Linked DNA regions of Drosophila melanogaster. The protein of the gene in region 3 purifies or fractionates together with the protein of the main gene of each other region. This does not show direct contact. Each region holds a gene or a part of one and is shown on either strand. Other genes may lie near its edges.

Region 1 (6,703 bases), on a different chromosome or scaffold from region 3:
ATGACAGTTAGGTGTCATTTTTTACATTTTGTACATGGAGATGTTTTAAAAAAGTACTAAAGTTTTACGACCGTTTTAATTATGAGTAAAAACGACAACTTTAAAACTTTAAACTAATTAAATCATTTCATTAAGGCGTTTAGCTATTCATATTTCTTATTAAATAATACTTGGCTTCGGATATTTTAGATATTTCAATTTAAGCAAATTTAAATAAGTTTCGAAACGATTTTCGGATTTTAAATAAACTAAAGTAATAGGTATTATATATTGAGATTATTATTTAAATGATCATGATTTACTTAAATTATGATTTAAAACATGTCAGCGGATAAAGTTTATCAAAGAAGTTTTTATTTGTATTTCTACAAAGTTATAAACAATGGTTGTAAAACGACCAATGATAAAGGTCAATCTTTTGTTTTGACACGTAATATAAAACTGGGACTGCATATATTTACATGCACAATGGAACGCACTACGTTTTTGTAATAGAAATGAATGCATTCAGTTGACAAGCACTGCTTTTTTTAAATTTCTTATTTCTTCCTATGATAATGGGATTTAAATCCAATGAAAAAAGGAGTACTTTTCATGCCATTTCTTATGCACACCGCCATTAGCTGAATCAACCGAAAATTCGCCGGGCCGAATTGATTGTATTTTTGATGCACTCAATTGGTGACCCCGACGTTGATTGCTGAACCCATTGTATTGAATTAGTTTACTTTTTCGATCGTCCACTTTACATACAACAAAAGAGTTCTTGTGCACGACCATGCGATTGTGTGCGTGTGAGCATGCATATACGTATGCATGTGCTCAGCTGGCGCACGTGTGCGAGTGTGTGTGTTTGGGAGAGGCGTGGGGTGGCGTGACGTGGTTAACATTTATGGTTATCAGTTCGCGATCTGCAAGGCAATAGCCACCCACAAACGATCAATAAACAAAGTCCTATTTAAAGGTATGTCTATCTGCAGCTGCGCCGTTCTTATCGGTTATTCCCTGTTACGCATATGCACATATATATACAGACACTGTCGGTCGTGCCCTTTGTTTACGAGTGTCACTGGGCGGGAATCGGTTGCTAAACACTGGTCACTACTATATGGTTATCACTCGGCGGCGTCGTGCCCGCCATTTACCTTTTTGGCAATGTTTTTGTGCGAATTGATTTGTTTTCTTTTGTAAGCCAAACGGTATGACCGTTCGAGTGCAATGACGATGACACCGGTGAACAAACGGAAAATCGCCACTTTTGCCTTTAGTATTTTTCAATATTTAATATTTGCCACCAGGGCTGTCAGGTTGCAATGTTGTAAAGGAAATCTGAATAATTTGGCTAACGATCTGCACTACAACTTATAGCTTATTAATGATTGATTTTTGATCTACGCTAACTTTTCCATAAATCAAAAAATGAAACTCTAGTGAGTAACTTATTCTAATATAGTTATTTGGTTTTTAGATATGAAATGACCGAATACCCCGAAACTAGTAATATTTAATAAGATTACTAGATTACTTTAATTTAATAAGATTAAAAATTTGTTTGCTTGGTTTACCTAACTAAGAACTAGTTGGAAGAACATATTTTATTCAGTATTATTTAAAGACTTTCCCAAAAGTGGTTACCCTATTGGTTTGCGTCCATACTAAATGCCTGTCAAAATTATTCGCAGAATTGAACGGCGAATTTTTTTTCGCATTTGGAAATTGGATTTTTGCTGAAAGTAAACGCTTTAAAACTGGTATAAACCCGAATTAGCCTATTTGGGGACTTGGGCCATTGTTTTAAGTGGTTTTCAGCAACTGAAAAGGTGAGCCCGTCGGCGGATTAGAATATTCAACCGGCAGACGATTTTTTGTTGGCCAAAAATTTGCAGACGTGAGCGCGTGAGTTTTTGAGGGGGTTAATGCCAAAAGATGTACATACCTGACCGTCGTCCAGTTGCAGGCCTAATGTCCAACGAGATCTACGACTCCTCCAATTCGCAGCTAAGTAGCGACGAGTATAGCCACGAGGAGGAGGAATACGACGCTCTAATGGACGCGGCGGTGAGCAAGCAACGACCCCAAAAGACAAAATCCAAGGGATCCGAGTCCGAGAAACCCGGAAATGGAGCTCCAGAATCGGCGGCTGCCACTGAGAAAAATGAAAAGCCAGATGACGATGCGGTGCCACCTTCCACGCGCTCAGAAACAATTCGGCGGATCCGGCAATTGCAGTTACAGCGTGGCAGGCTGCCCAATCTTTACTTCAAGCGTCGCAGTATTCGTTGGTAAGGCTTACTTCCCAAAGAACCTACTGAAACTGTAATCCTATCTTATCCGATCACACTTCAGGCTGCGACCCAATAAAATGGACTACAACAGCTATTTTGACGGCCTGAAGGACTTGCTGCCCAAGCGTAAATTGAAGCACCTGGTTCGCTTCCATGACAGGCAGCGCAGAACCTACGACAGCAGGAGCATCAGTCGTAGTCGCAGCCACAGCCGCAGTCTTAGCCGAAGTTGCAGTCGCAGTCGTAGTCGTAGCTATTCTCGCAGCCGCAGCGGCAGTGGTTCGCCGGAACTCATTTGCCTTGACGACACGGAGAACGAGGATTCGCCTGAGAAACCAGAGCAAGAGCCGGCAAGGGTTACGCCCATCAAGGAAAATAAGCCTACGCTTCCGGCTCCACCCCAACTAAACTACGAGCTGCCAGAAAGGAAGAAAGCAAACCCACTTGGAAACAACGAAAACGGTGCCTCTATCCTCGACGAGTTCCTGGTAAAGAAGGATCCCCAGGAACCGGTCTTCGACTACGGTAAACTCTCAGCGTGTCGGGAATTGGAACAGGCTCTAAAGGACCGGTCGCGAGATGCGCCAAATGAGGCAGAGTCGCTTGTGGTTGATGCCACTCTTAAAAGACGCCGTTCGGTAACACCGCCCGCTAGCGAAGAGAAGCGCAACAATGAAGTCGAGGATGATAATATAATTGGGTTTTCAACGGTGCAGCAACAGAAGCCAATGGAGGCAGCTCCACCATTAAATCTAAGAATGCCCACCACTCCATCGACTAATCCTCTTCAGCGTCAGCAGGCTTTTAAGCTGAGCACACCGTATACCCTGGCTCCGCCTACTGCCGCCAAGCAAGCTGACACTTACAGTTTAAATACTCCACCGCCAACGGCCACCCAAATGCAGATATCCTATCCCAACGAAAAGCTGTCAAATAACATGAAAGCTAATGCGACTTTCTCGATTCAACAGACAGCTTTATCCCAAGTCGCTGCATCCTATGCTGCTGCACCACAAGTGGCTGCCCTCGCGCAGAGAGCTCCATCTCAGGTTGCTCCACTACAACAAGCCCCCGTGCAACAGATGCACTTCCCAAGATCAGTTCCACCGCAGCAGCTTCCTCCACCACAGCAGCGAGCTCCTCCACAGCAACTGGCTACAGCTCCATTCGCTCCACCACGGCACCTGGCTCAACATAGACCATCTCCACAGCAGCTAGCTCCATCACAGCAGCTGGCTCCACCACACCAGCTAGCTCCACCACACCAGCTAGCTCCACCACAGCAGCGAGCTCCGCCACAGCAGCTAGCTCCACCACACCAGCTAGCTCCACCACACCAGCTAGCTCCACCACAGCAGCGAGCTCCGCCACAGCAGCTAGCTCCGCCACAGCAGCTAGCTCCACCACAGCAGCTAGCTCCACCACAGCAGCTAGCTCCACCACAGCAGCTAGCTCCACCACAGCAGCGAGCTCCGCCACAGCAGCGAGCTCCGCCACAGCAGCTGGCTCCGCCACAACAGCGAGCTCCCACACAGCATATGGCTCCACCACAACATATGGCTCCGCCACAGCAGCTAGCTCCAACACAGCAGCTAGCTCCTCCACCACAGCAGCTAGCGCCTCGACCACAGCAGCTAGCTCCTCCACCACAGCAACTAGCTCCTCCACCACAGCAGCTAGCTCCTCCACCACAGCAGCCAGATTCATCAAGACCAGCTTCGGTGCAGCCGTTGACCCCTCAAAGGCATGCTAGTCCACATCAGCTTGCCCAATCACAGCAGGTCCATCAATCGCCATCTCAACTGCATCCTGTTCCAGTGGCTGCTCCCAACTTTGCGGTGCCCCAACAGCCGCAACCCCGTCGATCGGAAACGGTGAGCACCCAGACGCAGGGCTTGGGGTCACCAGCGGCTTCTTCTTCGACAACCCGCCAAAAGTCATTCGTTGATCTCAATAATAGTGATGCAAACTTCCATTATCGCGTCAAAGAACTTTTCGATGAATTGAACTCGACAATGATTGATAAAATTAACTCGGTACCCCCTGATGAAGATTCATTGAAAAAAGAGCGCGAACGCATCGTTGCGGATCTTGCAGCCCTAGATAAGCTGATGGCCCAGAAAGAGGATGAATATAACCGACTGCTGTATTTGAGCTGCATTAAGAAGGAGCTGCATGAACGAATGGAGCGAAAGGAGCGCTTGATACGTATTAAGGACCTACTGCCCATCCTTATCAACAAGTGCGGCACCAAGGAGCTCAGTGAGGTAAAGGCTATGCTAGAAGAGGAAATCGATTCTCCAATGGCCTCCAAACATAGTTTGTCGGCAATTGAAAAATTACTGAATTACGCCGAGTTAAACCAGAACATCATACAGCTTCTGCGGGGGTAAATCTTTAAATGTTTAATTCTGAGAATCCCAAGTTAAAATTGATCGTTTTCAGTTCCTTGGGCTTAAATAAACGCGCACCGTCCGTGTCTCCGGCCAATTTCGAGGATGACCAAATGCTTTTTCGTAGAGATTCCTTGCCCGTAAGTCATCTATCAATGCGGGATCAGCATTACGAATCTCGGAATGCGGTAAATGACCATCTGCTAGATAGCAATCCAGACAGAGATCCGCCAGCCAAGCGACCGAAGCTAATCCACTCGCAAGACAGGTGAGAAAATACAAATAATATACTAGAACATATTATTTTAACGTCATATAATTTATAGTAACCAGGACATGGCAAGCTCCTCGACACATTTGTCAGCCAATCTTTCAGAGACGCTTCGCAAGATTAGGGCTTGGAAAAATTATTCGCATTTTAGTAACGTCTCAATGGAGGACAATAATTCGGATAATGAATCACAGATCGAACCGCTGTTCAACAGCAGTCCGATGGCCTCCCGTCGCCAACTGGCCAATAGACAGGTATGCACTTAATCACAATATTTTTTGACATTCCGCGAAAATAAATGTTTCTATTCAGTCCTACCAAGAACAACATTCCGCTAATATCAACGACCATGAGAATGTCCAAAAGAGGCACAAGTCTCACAAGCGCAAGTCGCATAAGCACAAGTCTCACAAGCATAGGAGCTCCCATAAGTCCCAGGCTGAATCTTCCGCCACCATCAACGGTAACACAGGTAGACAATGCCACGAGTGCAAGCTCTATGGAGCCACCTTTATGTGCTCCAACTGTCAGAATCAATGGTACTGCAGTCGTGAATGCCAGGTAAGCATTGTAGGATTTATTATGTATTTTATGCATTTTTTTAAATTGTTTTATCCAGTGACGCATTGAAGGAAAAGTACTCATGTTTACCTATCTTTTATAATACATTCGTTATAGCTGAGCGATTGGGACACACATCACCGAACTTGTGGCATTTAAATAGACTTCACTTAGGACATCAGCATTACTAAAACATAACTATATAGACGTATCGCATATGCACTACTATATATTTACTCAACCGTGTAACTCACTGAAGGACACAGGACACTGGCGGACCATTTTCAATTGCGTTTTATTGAATTAAGTGCTTGCAATTGTACTCAATCAATGAAGCACAATTTAAAGTGTAATATGCCTAGCTATTATAAGTTGGTAGGGATTAAATATAATAATTATAATTCCTTAATAATTGATTCCAATTTGCTTATGAACAACGCGCGAAATTCATTTTGTTTCAAAATCGTATTGATAAAATGTTCCTCGTTTTCCCACTTTTTTTGTTTGAAAATTAAATATCCTTGACTTCTTGTTTGCTACATAAAAGATATCTATTTAAGAATTAATATATTTATTTTCTGTTTCTTTGGATGTAATTCCATGCTAAAGGCAAAATAAACAAGTTCATATTTATTTACAAGCACTTATTATTTAATTTTTGGGAAGACTATTGAACCAAAAAGTATTAGTTCAACAAAATAAAGAAAATGATGAGACGTTTTAATACAATAATAGAAAGTGTTTTAAAATTGGTACTTATAAAATATAAAATTTTACCGTTTGCAGAACTGGTTGGCTTGGTCTATCGATAAATGGCGCCAAGTTTATTGTTCAAATTTCAAACAGAATTTTCTGTGAAATTCGACTAAACTTTGATAACATATAATTCGTATAATGGAATTTTTTCAGATCATTTAGGGCTTTGCCATCGCCTCATTTATTTACTGCGCCTGCGCACCTGGCACATCAGTTTGATGTCATTTATATGCAGCCGGAGTGGCTGCCTCCTGGACCACGGACCACGTCTCAGTTTCCGGATGCGCAGCTGCCGGCTGCAGTAGAGCCGGAATTTCAGATTCGGATTCCAGACGGCACCGGCCGAGGCGGAGGGCGTGACGCACTTGTAGGCATATTGCCACCATAATCGAATGCTCTGCTTGGTGCTGTGCTGGAATCGAAAGGGGATTGGATTC
Region 2 (7,883 bases), on a different chromosome or scaffold from region 3:
TTTAGTTCGCTCTGCAAAAATAAATTATATTACATTATGTACCTTAGGTTATGAAAGGTGTACTACTTCCTAAGGGTTAGAGAAAATCTTTACAAAAACAAAACTAATACCATTAACCCACATTTACCTATATTTGTATAATAAGTATTTGCTTGAATAAGCTACATTTTCAAAAATACTAAATTAAGATTGATTCCTTATTAATATTATCTAATTTATAGGAATATAGCGACATTTTCTTTAAAAAAAAAAAAACCGATAAATTCAAAAATAAACTGGAGTATTAGTATGATTTTCAATTATCAGCGGCTCTGATCTTTTCAACTTAACGATATGAAACAGAAAAGACAATGTAAGAAAAAAATATGAAATCCAGTAATTCCTAGTTTAGAGTTAGGATTAGAGCAGTACATTACATTACATTAGTACATATTCATAGCTTGCTGTATTCTAAATATTAATTATAAACTTGAAGATATTCGGCGATTAATACATCCTTATTCGCATCGCTTTTACTTGGTGACATTTTATTGAAGAAATAGATTCTCTTTTACAATCAGATATGAGAACAAGTTAATGCACCAGCAGGGGTCTCAGCCATCTCGATTCTATCGAATAAACGAGTTCGTTCGATGGCTAAGTACTTGTCGCGAATTCATGCTTGGAGTGTTTACGTAAGATTTGTAAAAATAAGTAAAGAACTGAATTCTCCATTTTTGCGTAGTTTTGTGCTTGAACCCCTACTGCCACAACTTTCCGTCGGCGATTTCCAGGGCCATCTTCGTGCGGAAGTACAACATTTCCGCCTGGGAGAAGGTAATCGGAACATCACGCGTTATATACTCGGCGAACATGCAGCTGAAGACACCGCAATCGCTGCTATTCCCTTGACGTGGTATATTCTGCGCGTTCTCGACAACGAAACCGGTCATATCAAACGGCTGTTTGCGCTTGTCTAGTGACTCTTCGTGCAGATATTTAACTAGAGCATCAAGCGCCGGTTGGTTTGGTCTTCCCATTGAGTCGTAATAGAAGATTGTCTTGTTACGCAAGTGTATGATGGCCATGCACCAGTGGACGTTGCCGCAGTGCACTGGCACCGGTATTATGTCCTTGCTGAACAAGTCCACTTTGCGAGTCCAGCGCCTAACGCCTGCATACCCAGCTTGCAGGAGACGGGGCATGAAGAATGTGTTCATGGCGTAAGTGGCGGGAAGTTCGCCAGCTCGCTTCTCCGAGCGTTCCGTCAGCATGGACATGTAAAAGTTGATGATCGCGTCGTTAAGCCATTCGCCATCAACAAACGTGAATATGTCGTCGGTAGTTATTTGTAGGTTATATTTGAAAATTAAGTTCTGAAATAAGATTTTAAAGCGCAAGCATATAAACGTTTTAAATGGGTACACATATAAATAAATAAATATATTCGTTTACCGTCGTAACCTCAATAGTTGTCATTTCTTGAAAGCGAGCGTGGTCCTCCTTTGTTAGCGGAATGAGCTTGGTCTCTTTCTTCTCTTCCGGCTGTTCCAGGGGCCCGATTTCAAAAAAGGGCCGGTGGGGAGCACCAGACCGGAACATGACTTCCCGCAGCTTTTTTTCATAGGCAAGGCGTTCATCTTTGCTTTCATTAGCCCTAAAATTGGAAAAAAGCCTCTTGGTACTGGGCCTAATTATAGCGTTACAAATACTTACTGCTGTTCAGCTATTCCAAGAAGATGCATGGATTCAAGTTGCCGGCGATTCGCTCTTGCTTTGAAATTTTCCGCAAAGTCATTCCTTAGAAAGATACAGTTGGCAAAGCGACGGTGCAAGAAGTCTGGTTTCTTGATTCTGGTAGTTGTAGGTTGAGGTGCGTCACTAATTGGTGATAAAATCAGGATTTTTGATTATTGCAAATTATTTACGTTTGGATATAAAGCATTTATTTACTTTTCCTTGGTTTCGTTGGCTTCGTTGGCTTCGTTGGCCTCGTTGGCTTCGTTGGCTTCCTTGACCTCCGGGCTATCTTTAACCAACATTGGCTCAGTGTCAGAAGATGAGCAAGTTGAACAAGTGCTGCAGGAGGAAGATGCGCTGCTGGAAATAGTGGACGCATGGCTGGCAGAGCTATTGCTAGCGTTTCGCTTTGGCTGCTGTGGTGCCGGAGACCTGTTCTCCTCATTCTCCTGGCGGTTGATCAATTTGGCGTACTCCGTTAGCTCAGGGTTCGCACGGCCATGTGGCGACGGGAACGAATCTGTTATATTCGATTGGTTGTCTTGCAGTGAGCAGCTGCTACTGGTTGCCGACTGGGCTTTAGCCCGCTGAAACGTTGGCGGGGTACCCGGCTTGAGGTAGCGACTGCCCACGTAATTTGTTTGGGTACGGATAAGTTCGTTATACTGCTCTTGATCCTTGCAGTTCATCTCGTGGGACAGAATGCTTCTGTGCAGCCGAGACGGTTCTCTGCGCACCGTATGGCTGGAGTGCCCATTTACGCGCGACTCGGAGATGCCATTATGGCCTAGACGCACCGCATCCGAGTAAGTCATGGGCCTGGATGATGGGCCCGCGTTAGCAAGTCTCTGTGACGACTCCTCATCGTCAAATGGCGTAGGTACGTGGGGGGCATCATTGCGCACTCGGTGCTGCGTGTATACCGGCGGATTAAATATTGAGAGCCGCTTTGAGCTCTGGGGCTGATCCCGCTTGGCCATCGAATTGTTGGGAATCAGGTCCTCGGCCGTCTCATTCGTTATCAAGCGGGGAAAGCTGTTGTCCACACGCCGGTACTTGATCAGACGAGGGTTCTCTTCTTGGTTGCTGAAAGTAGAGAAAAAACATTAATTGAAATTTTTACATGGGAGTAGCAATGAATGACATAAAATTGTTGCGCAGGCTTACCTAGTTGGATTTAGGTAAACAAAATTAAAAATAACATAAAATTCTTAATGCTTACCGTCTTTTCTGGGATAAAAAACTATTTTCCGGCTGGCGGCCGGCACCAAAACCTTTTCCGTTTTGAGCCTGGAATCCCGTTCCGGTATCCGTGGAGTCCGTTTCGCTTTCTCTGGAAGAATACCAACCGGATAGCATACCACGGATCTTTTTTAATATTTCTAAGCCCATCGAAATGTCTTCTTGGAGGTCTCTTTTCGGCGTGGGGCGTGGAGGTATTTCCTTAGTTTGCTCGAGAATCTCTCTCAGAATGGAGATGATCTCATCGGTGGCCCGGCCGTGTATAATTTCGGTTAGAACCTTATGGCACACATCGGCTAGCTTCTGGCGGAGAAGGAAAATTGACTTCCGGTGGGCTTCGGCTTCGGGTTGCTCTGGATCGGCCACCAGACTTTCAGAGATATCGCGAATTAGATTGAAGGTTTTGCGAATACAAATAGTGCTCGGATCGAGTGACTCTAGCTGCTCCCAATGTTCAGGTGAAACGGGGTCTGATATATCTTCTGAAGTAGATCCTGGTTGAGCTTCAGCGGGCGGTAATGGTGTCGAGACCTCATCAACAAAGTTCTGATGCTCGTGGCCTGTGTAACTAACCAGTTCTCTGTCCCGTTGGCCTTCGTTTACCTCGTATGCTGGTTGAACCTCAAAACTGTTTTCCTGGGATATTTCCAATTGAGGTACGTACGGAGTCGCAGTTTGTATAGTTTGTATATACTGGACCTTAGAATAAGCCTGGTTAGAGTGGATGGTGAATTCCTGCTGAATATACTGCCTCTCTTGGATATGATCTTTCTGACCTTTCTGCTGGTATTCAGAAAAGGGCTGCAACTTTCTCTTTTTGACCTTAGATTCGAACTGGTGGGTTTGCTTCTGGATCTGTGGTACACTCAGCTGATCTTGCTTCTGGAGCTGGAATTGTTGGTTCCCCTCAAAATTCAGGTAATGTTGATCTTCCTCTTGGTCTTCCGGTGTTAACTGCTCGTTTTCCTCCTGGATGTATGTTGCGAACGGGATGTCGGTTACATTGTGATAATTTTGTTTGTGAGTGTCAGTAACAATCTGCAGATCTCGCTTCTCGATTTCAGATGCGAACTGGAACCTTTCCTTTTGGAGCTCGGCTGTTTGTTGATCTTGCTCCTGATTATCAGATGCGAACTTTAGATCTTCATTATCATAATGGATCTCGATTACGAACTGAGGACTTTGTTGGTTTTTCTCCTGGATTTCAGGTATAGTGTGCAGATCATCAGATTCGAACTTTAGATCTTCATCATCGTCATCCTGGATCTCGATTACGGACTGAGGACTTTGTGCCTGTATATCAGTAACAGAAGGAGATGCAAGCTTCGTAACTTCGGTTACGATCTGCTGGTTTTGCTCCTGAATCTCAGCAGAAAACGAGAGATTTTCCCATTGGATTTCGGAGACAGCCGAGTAATCCTCCTGGGTCTCGGTTATAGTCTGATGATTTTGCTCTTCAGTTACAATCTGGTGATTTTGCCCTTGAATATCAGACGAGGTCTGGAAAACGTTCACTTGGATTTCGGGGGCAGTCTGGTGAACTTCCTCCTGGATCTCCGTTACAGACTGGTGATTTTGCTCCTGGATCTCTATTACAACCTGAGGACTTTGTACCTGTATATCAGTAGTGACAGGAGATGCAATCTGAAGACATTTCTCTGGGATCTCGGTTAATGTCTGTTGGTTCTGGTCCTGAATCTCAGAGGCACGCGTGAGATTTTTTTCTTGGACTGCAAGGACAATCTGGTTTTCATCCCGGATCTCAGTTAAAGTCTGATCCTGAGCCTCAGTTGCAATCGGATGATTTTGTTCCGAGATGCCATTTTCAAATTTCTGATCTTGCTCCTGGATATTATTGATTTGAATTTCGGGGACAACCTGGTGGAATTGCTCCTGGCTCTCAGTTATAGTCTGGGGATTGTGCTCCACGATATGTAATATAATCGGTTGATTATTCTCGGAGGCCTGATCGCATAGTTGGATTCCCGTTCCTATATGAATGTTTTGTTGATATAGGACTGGCTGATTGTTGTACTGCTGGACATAATATGCGACCTGGTTGTTTTGGTCAAGATCGATCAGGGCATCAACTGTAAGGGTGATGGTCGGTAGTGATGGTGGTTCTGGCAAGGGGGATGGAAATCGCAGTCTTATCGGCGAATCTATCAATGGACAATTTTGCAGCTCATGGAGTTGATGTATTGGCGATCCATCTGGAGAGTAACGCTGATTCGGAACTGGGACACACCGCGGCAGCAGCGGCGAGTAGTTCTGGCTAGGGAACGTAAATCGTGAATCCCCTGGCGGGGAACAATACGCATTAGTGTTCAATGTCTCGAATGCCTGTTCAGTTGGCAATAAGTGCGATGTCGGGAGACCTTGGTTCTCCGCCCATAGGAGTTGTGTTGCTGTGGCGTTGGCTGCTGCTTCTTCCGATCCTCTTGGCGCTACTGACGGATTACCCCAACTTGGAAACGTGCTGCGGCGTGAGTCCACATGAGACGCGACGCGCTCAATCACGTTCGGGTGAGCTGCTGGCGACGGCGAAAATCGCTGTCCTACTGCCGAACCGACTACTCGTGCTGCCGACACATTGCTCGCGATTTGGAGTGCGGATTCGTATGCGGAATTTGTGGACAAATCGGTGTCCTCGGGAGGCAGCGACATGCGTGTGTTCGCTACCGCTTTCGCTACTTTTAGCTGCAAATTGAAATTTAATCAGAAATTATTTTTCCACACGCATTCGCTTTCAAGAATCGCAAGAAGAAGAATAAGCAAAAAAGGAAAACGAGCCGGCAAAAAGGAAGCCCGATTTTGCGCATTTTTCGCTGTTTTTCGCCGTCTTTGCTTGGTGCCACTTCTGCGGCCGCCGGAAAATGCCGACGCTGCTATTGCACCGCACTGAGTGCCACACCACAAGCGCCTTGCAACAAACACTTACCCCTTGGCCAGGTTTTAAACAATGTACACTTTTCACTGTGACTTGAGAAAATTTTCGCAACTTAGCTCGATGAAAATTGAGTAAAGAAAGAAAATTTCGGTTTTGGCGTACTGGTGCCTTAGTATGACCGTACAAGATATTGCTCTATAATACCAAACCAATCGATATCGGCCAACAGTGTTGGGTCTGGCTGCCGCATCATAGCAGGCAGCTTTCGTCACGCAGCGAATGTAATTACCTAGAAATATCTGAGGAAATAACGGCATTTAGTCTTACTGTAAAAATACGACAAATTCGGTGAAAAGGGAAATTTTTCGTCAATATTTTCCAATAATATTTCAATATTTTCAATATTTCTTACACAGCGAATTTTGTAAGAACATGCATTTTTTTTAGTGTGCGACAGATTTCTAAAAAATTGAACCAATCTCTAGAATGAACGCAACATTTTATACTTTTAAACTTATTTTAATCGGAAAAAAACTGTCCACATTTCCAAAGTACAGTAGTCAGCACAGCTTAATGGAAAAATAGCTAAAAGGCTATAGCTACTTCTGTAGCAGTTCTTTAGGGATATTTTAAAGGCCAGCATTCCATTCTTTTTTCAAATTGACGTAATAAGACTTTTAAGACTTATGTTAAAATGTATGTAGCTTGCTTATAGTTTATATATTTATTTATTAATATCACTGCACAAATACAACAACAACGTCAGCCACAGCAGCACACACACACACACACATACACGATGCCTTGTTGTGTGAGAGTGCGCGAATTCTTCAGTCCCTCAATCCTTGCTCTGGCAGCAGAAGAAGAGGAAGTTCCAGAGCAGCGTGGTAGTTCCGTAAAGGGCGCCGGCCAGTCCCACGGTGGCCTGGAAGGAGTACCGCTCCACCACCCAGTGGGCCAGCGCGCCCCAGAGGAGAACCAGCAGGCCGTTGGTGAAGTGCACCGGACGGCGGATGGCCGTCCAGTTGGCCCGCGTCATGCCCATCTGGAAGACCAGCTCCTGCAGAAAGGCGGTCACCACCTGGCCAAATCCCAGCAGCACGGCGGACACACTGAGCAGCAGCTTGGAGGTGGAGAAGCTGATGACTGGAAGCGAAACAAAAGATGGATCTATTGATGGCCCGGGGAAAGCTTGAAACGGGTATCATGACTCACAGATCAGCGCCAGGCACTTGCAGATGCTGCCCAGCGTGTGCCACTGGAGCTTCCGCTTATAGAGGCTCGTGCCGAAGCGCGGAGTCATCAGGGAGAAGCACATCCATGGGAAGGCCAGCAGCGAGAAGAGGAACGGGATCTCGGCGTTCTTCAGCGCATGGTGGCTGACCGCCAGTCCGGGTAGCACCGTCAGGCACATCACGTAGCTAAAGATGTCCGCCGAGAGGAGCAGCGTGGTGGCGTACAGCTGCGGCACCAGCAGCGCCTGCTGCAGCGGCATGGCGATCTTGTCCAGCAGATTCCACCACAGGTGCGTGGTTACCGCACGCGACATCCGCCGGATGCGGCGCTGAAAATGAGGAGCATACGGAAAGGTTTCACATCCGGTCACCATATTCCACAAAGCCTGCGCACTACTCACCAGGTTGGCATAATCGGGAGGTAGGGGTGAGGAGCTACCTGTACCAGTTCCCGTTCCTGTGCCCAAAGGATGCTGGGGCGTCAGTGGATAGAGACGTCCATTGGACAGGGACTTGTGCGACATCTGCGAGGCGGACATGGCATAATTGTCGATGGTCGCATTGCTCGACCGCATCATGGACACCGTCTCGTCCTCCTCGGGTATGATCTCCATAATCTCCACCCCGTTGGGATTCACATACGTCACATACGCCTCATCGGTGGCCAGCATGTAGTTGCTGTGCGTGTCCACCACCACAGCGGCGGCGACGGCACCACTGGGCGTGGCCATTTCGGTGGTGGCCGGATTCCGCCATGAGAGCGTGTCCAATCCGTCCAGCTGGTCCGCCACCAAGTT
Region 3 (5,093 bases):
TACCTTTTGAACTGTCTGCATCACATGCAAAGCTCGCTGGCTGTCTACGAATATATGGATGAGCGCGTGGAGCGGCTGCAGGCGCAGTCGGATGCCCAGTTGGACACACTGACCTCCGAGCAGGCATCATCGCTGGTGGCGAACCTCAATCTGGGTCCCATCTACGCCATTCTGCAGAGCAATCAATCTAAAATAGAAACAAACCTGCTGAAGATCTTCATGTCCAAGATGGACGCCTTTCTGGAACTACCCGATGTATTGCTCCTGCCGCAGGTGCAGCTCATAATGTCCAGCAGTCACCGGGCCGCCGTTCAGAAGCGATCCTTCAACGTGATCGTGGCCATCTACAAGCAGATCTACGAACGCGTCCACGATCCGGCCAACGGCTTCGAGCAGCCGGAGCAGCTGCTGCACAGAACGCCGGAGCAGGTGGCTCACATCCTGACCTCCACTTAGTGGATTGGGTATTCCAATTTCTATTGTGCATTACTATAATTTATATGTATTTATATGTGGGGAAGTTTATTGTTAGCGTGGTAAAATAAAAAACCAATCGTATATCTGATGCGGACAAGAATAAGTTTCAATGCCTTCATACTCGGCTAGCTTAAGCTAAGACAGACTAAAGTAATGATGACCTAAGTCATCGTGACAGTGGCCTTTTGGAATAGTTCTAGGGTGAGGGCGGAAAAGAATGCGGGAAAGTTGCTGGCTGCCAGCTGCTGATCAATAGGTGGATTGAATGTGTGCGAATATGGCGACTCCAGTAGCGCCAAACAGTTCGATTCGTTGAGGCTGATGTCCAGATAGTCATCCGGTCCCTCTGCAAACATGCTCGATATGCTGCAAGAGAAATATTAAATGTTAGCAACTAAGATGGAGGATCTATGGAATCGCTACCCACCGATAGTTGCTGTTGGCACCGATTCGATCGATCCTATAGCCTAGCAGCATGTAGCACACATCGCGGAACTCCTCTCGGGCCGCCTTGAAGCAATCCCTCATCTTCCGCATCTTGCCATTGGCGGACTCTAATTCGGCTTGAAGTTGATTGAACTCCTTAAAGTTCAGTGTCATGCCGCCCGTGCTGGTGGTTTCATTGAGCCTTTGCTCGTTATCGTCCTCCAACTTCTTGTTGCGCCGCTTGAGTCGCTCAATCTCCGCCTGCAGCTTCTCCATCATGTTTTTGGTGGACTCATAGGCTTCGGCAGCGGGATTTTCACTAAAGTGTACCACCTTGAAGTCCTTCATGTTGAAGTCGCCCCGCAAGCAGCGGTGCATCATCTCCATCTCCAGTTCCTCCTTGCGCCGACGCAGCCGATCGTTTTCCATCCGCAGCGTATCCAGTTCCTTTTTGACGCTATCGTATCCCTCTCCGGCAGGTTCGTTCACAAGCTCCTGCTGGCGCAAGGATTGAATCTCGCGTTCCAACGTGGCACACATGTCCTTGTATCCGGTTACGGTGCGTTCAAGCACCTCCATTCGGACCCGCACCTGCATGTCCTGCGTCATGTCCGCCACACTGGCATTGCTCAGGGTCGTGTCCTTGTCGAAGTTTTCCACCAGTTGTTTGTAGAAGTCGCGCTCCTTAGACACGGTGATCAGTTTGCGCTGCAGTCGCTCCTTGAAGTTCTTGTGGCGTTTCAGTCCGATATTGAGATCCTCGATGTTCTTCAAGTAAATGGCGCACTTATGCTCTAGATCTCGAATTGTGGTCTATAAAATGGAGTCAGATAAATTGGACTTGGAACACATTGGACAAAACCTACATTCAAATGCTTGGTATCCGAAGCCGATGATGTCTTCTCTGCCACGTGAATGATGTCTTCTTTTAGCAGTTGCTCAATGCGCGAGCGTAGGGCCATTGGGCTGACCAAAGTGTTGGCCAAGCAGTGATCCTGGGCCACCTTGACCCATTCCTTGAGTTCTTGCTCCATGTGAAGCAGTTTCACCTGCAGGGAAGCTGCTTCCGCCCGAGCACCTTCCTCCCGCTCCAGTCGCGTTTTGTAGTCGTAGACCTGCTCCTCCAGAAGCAATTTATCGCCTATCAGAGTGTTTAAATGCTTGTTGTGGCTGCGCAGATGCTCCACCTCAGCTAGCAAATCTGGAACACTGGCCAGGCGCTCTCGTGAGGTTTTGACCACCTCCTTCCAGTCGCTATACGACTGAATTTCGAACTCCAGCTCCTGAATGCGATCGTTGGCCACCTTCAAGCTTTGCGTTTGCTTCTCGTGATTGGCGCGCAGCTGCTCGAATCCGGAAGCCCTGGCCTGTAACTCCTCATTGAGTTGACGTAGGCGCTCCAGTTCGTTGCGCGTAGACTGCAGTTCGAGATCGGCCCGCTGGGCTATGCGGCGATATTCGCTCAGTTCGTTGTTGATGCACAGGTGCACATCGCGGGCATCCTCCTTCTGCAGGTACTTCTCCTTCTGCAACTTGAGCGTGGATTCATCGAACTTAAGCCTAAGTTGGTTCAACTCGGCGGTGGCCCGACTGGCCTCATTCTTCAAGACCAGCTCTCGCTTACGAAGCGCCTTAAGATCGTCCTGCAGCTCCAAATTCTTCTTGCTGGTGATGTCGCACTGATCCTTTAAGGCCGTGCTCTTGTTCTCAGCCAGCAATATGGCCTCTTTGTGTTCCCGGCTCTTCTTTTCGATTTCGTTACGCAGCTGAATTACTATGGCCTTGGTTTCGATCAGCTCGGTCCGTAGTTTGCTGTTCTGCAAAGAAGCCATGGAATCGTTGGCGGGCATATTGAGGGAAGAGGCGGTGTCGTTAAGACTGCGTTCCGGTGATTCCCGTTCCCGACGTCGCTTATTGGGTGCTAGTAGAGGAGTTACTTGTTAGTTTCTACGTTCGCGCCTGTAAATTACAACTTACAAACTCCTAAATCGAAGGAGGCGGAAAGCCGGTTGAAAAGTAGTTTCTTGGGTGCCGAATGGGTAATGCTGTCGTTAAAGCGGTCCATCATATCATCTATGCTGCTACGTATGTCGTCCATTTTAAGTTGTATGTGGGAGACCTTAGTTGACGTTTTCAGTAAAGATATTTACTTTTTATTGCTAAAAGAAGTTGGTAAAATATTAATCTTAGAGTGGCTGCAAATATTTAGACAAGAAATGCCAAATATTGGTCATATTTTATTAGTATTAAAGTGGCCGATAACTTTGGCTTTTGTATCCAAAATTGTCACCAATAATCAAATATACGTATATTAATCTGGGAAATAATATCTTAAAAGGGACAGTTGTCTTAAGCAATTTCTTTATTTGGTGTGTTAATATAAAATCAAGAAAACAAATCAAAAGCTAAGTTGGCAGCCCAGTTTAGTATATTCGAGCGTGACTCTTTTCTGCACCACCCAAAAGTATGTTACACGAAATACTACAGGTAAAAGAAATCGCAATCGATAACGATAGTTCTTCGAGTGTTGCCGAAAATAAAAATTGATTTGCATTTCTTCTCGGCTTAAAATGAATTAAATGTTATTGTTTCCGCACCGAAAAAACTCATAAATCGTTAAAACAACAAATTCCGAAATCGGAATTAATTCGAACAATTGAACAACTGCCAAAAACTAGAACGTATGTGAAGCGTGTGTGTCGTACATACCAAGAGATAAGGACAAAAAACGGTTAAAAGAAAGCTTTCAAGAAAGAGAGTATAGAAAATAAATTTTACTAAAGTAACAAAAAAAAAACAACGAAACGCGTGTGCGTGTGCAACAAAAAAGTGTATGTCAAATAAGAAAATGTGGCTCCAGCGATAACGGTACTCCAATGTGCTCTCTCGCACGCACACAGAAGCATCCCGCACACGTACACCACCACCACTGCCAAAAAGCAAATCCTGCCCAACAGCCGCACCTATAAAAGTGGGCGTGGGTTGACCCAAGTTACTGTAACAAATTTGCAAAAAGTGATGCATGCTAATTGTTTAAACAAATCCCAGCTTTCCTAATCAAATACCTTTGCGAATTCCAATACACACCTATACACACATACCCACGCAGTGATTGGTGTGGAGAGGAAGAAGGAAAGGAAGCCAAAGGACAGGATAGAAAAGCAAGAGGAAGAACGAAACAGCATCGGCGCGTTGGAGAAATGTGCGGGAAGAGAAGATTGAAAATAAACGTGTAGTAGAGAATTTTTGAGACACTCACACGCACACACTCCTCCCACACTCTTTCTCTCTGTCTCTCCGTCTATACCGCTTGCCGCCTACACACACACATACTTAAGTAGACGCACGAGAGTTCTCGTATCGCGAAAAGCGTGTGCTTTGTTGTTGCCTCTCCCACTCCCTCGCTCTAAGAGGCGCTCCCGTGTTGTTTTTGTTGTTATTGCCGCTGAGCAAATGGCAGACCCTCTAAGCGGGTGCCGCTGGTGATAACATGTCGTAATGGCCAGAGAGGTAAGTGCAAACGTGCTAAAAGCAAAGCAAAGCCGGCAACTACGGCTTAACCGTTTTAGTTTTCCCGATCACCACGGTACCGCAAGTTACTTTGCCAAAATCAGCTGTTCTCACTTCATCACCATCCCCCATCATTCACATCTGCAACCAACGGTGTTAGCCTCTCCCAACATTAAAACAGTTAACCCTATGTCATATTTTTCCAAAGAAGTTTAACCCAACACTACAACTTAATAATAAAAATGCTGCGTGTAACAAATAATTATTCTCTGTAGGAATGAATTTTTTAATTAAGCAGTAGAAACAAAATAATCAAAAATAATACTAGGTAATAGATTTTTTTTAATAACATGCAATTTGAACAAAGTAAAATTTATAATATATTTTAATATTTCTTTGACTTGGTCTTTGTAGATATTTTGTTCTTTACGTGGTCAGCTGAACGAAAGATAGGTTCTTTATAGAGCAACACAACAGGATGCATGAATAAATCAACTTCTAGAGAAGATTAGGCAAATTTTTATTTTGCTGCTTGAGTATGGGTGCAATGGATACGATTCATGCCTGGCCTAAACTACAGGCACTCTGCTCCATCTATGTGAATTTTTCATATGACAACCTTTGGCGAGTGTATCTAGCAAGGCGTATCGCTGCGGATGCTCCGCACTCGCGTCCGCATC

Evidence for each region.
Region 1: the proteins of Mad1 (region 3) and RAF2 purify together in Drosophila melanogaster (affinity purification with mass spectrometry, with the first as the bait; one study listed by BioGRID). This does not show direct contact.
Region 2: the proteins of Mad1 (region 3) and Ulp1 purify together in Drosophila melanogaster (affinity purification with mass spectrometry, with the first as the bait; one study listed by BioGRID). This does not show direct contact.

The regions. Positions count from the first base shown.
Region 1 is NT_037436.4:16,384,675-16,391,377, forward strand, and holds RAF2 (RING-associated factor 2), read left to right. Parts: upstream 1-1,652; 5' UTR 1,653-1,896; intron 1,897-1,951; 5' UTR 1,952-1,962; coding exon 1,963-2,282; intron 2,283-2,346; coding exon 2,347-4,674; intron 4,675-4,730; coding exon 4,731-4,946; intron 4,947-5,004; coding exon 5,005-5,203; intron 5,204-5,261; coding exon 5,262-5,510; intron 5,511-5,627; coding exon 5,628-5,669; 3' UTR 5,670-6,142; downstream 6,143-6,703. Other genes in the region: Agpat3 (1-Acylglycerol-3-phosphate O-acyltransferase 3), read right to left, coding at 754-780; CG44836 (uncharacterized protein), read right to left, coding at 6,448-6,678.
Region 2 is NC_004354.4:19,202,132-19,210,014, forward strand, and holds the start of Ulp1 (Ulp1), read right to left. Parts: upstream 6,057-7,883; 5' UTR 5,903-6,056; intron 5,662-5,902; 5' UTR 5,629-5,661; coding exon 2,942-5,628; intron 2,806-2,941; coding exon 1,933-2,805; intron 1,861-1,932; coding exon 1,696-1,860; intron 1,637-1,695; coding exon 1,435-1,636; intron 1,356-1,434; coding exon 741-1,355; 3' UTR 1-740. Other genes in the region: CG14195 (uncharacterized protein), read right to left, coding at 6,690-6,997, 7,067-7,415, 7,488-7,883.
Region 3 is NT_033778.4:9,288,457-9,293,549, forward strand, and holds Mad1 (mitotic arrest-deficient 1), read right to left. Parts: upstream 3,110-5,093; 5' UTR 3,002-3,109; coding exon 2,881-3,001; intron 2,825-2,880; coding exon 1,770-2,824; intron 1,717-1,769; coding exon 905-1,716; intron 844-904; coding exon 639-843; 3' UTR 501-638; downstream 1-500. Other genes in the region: Cog6 (component of oligomeric golgi complex 6), read left to right, coding at 1-456.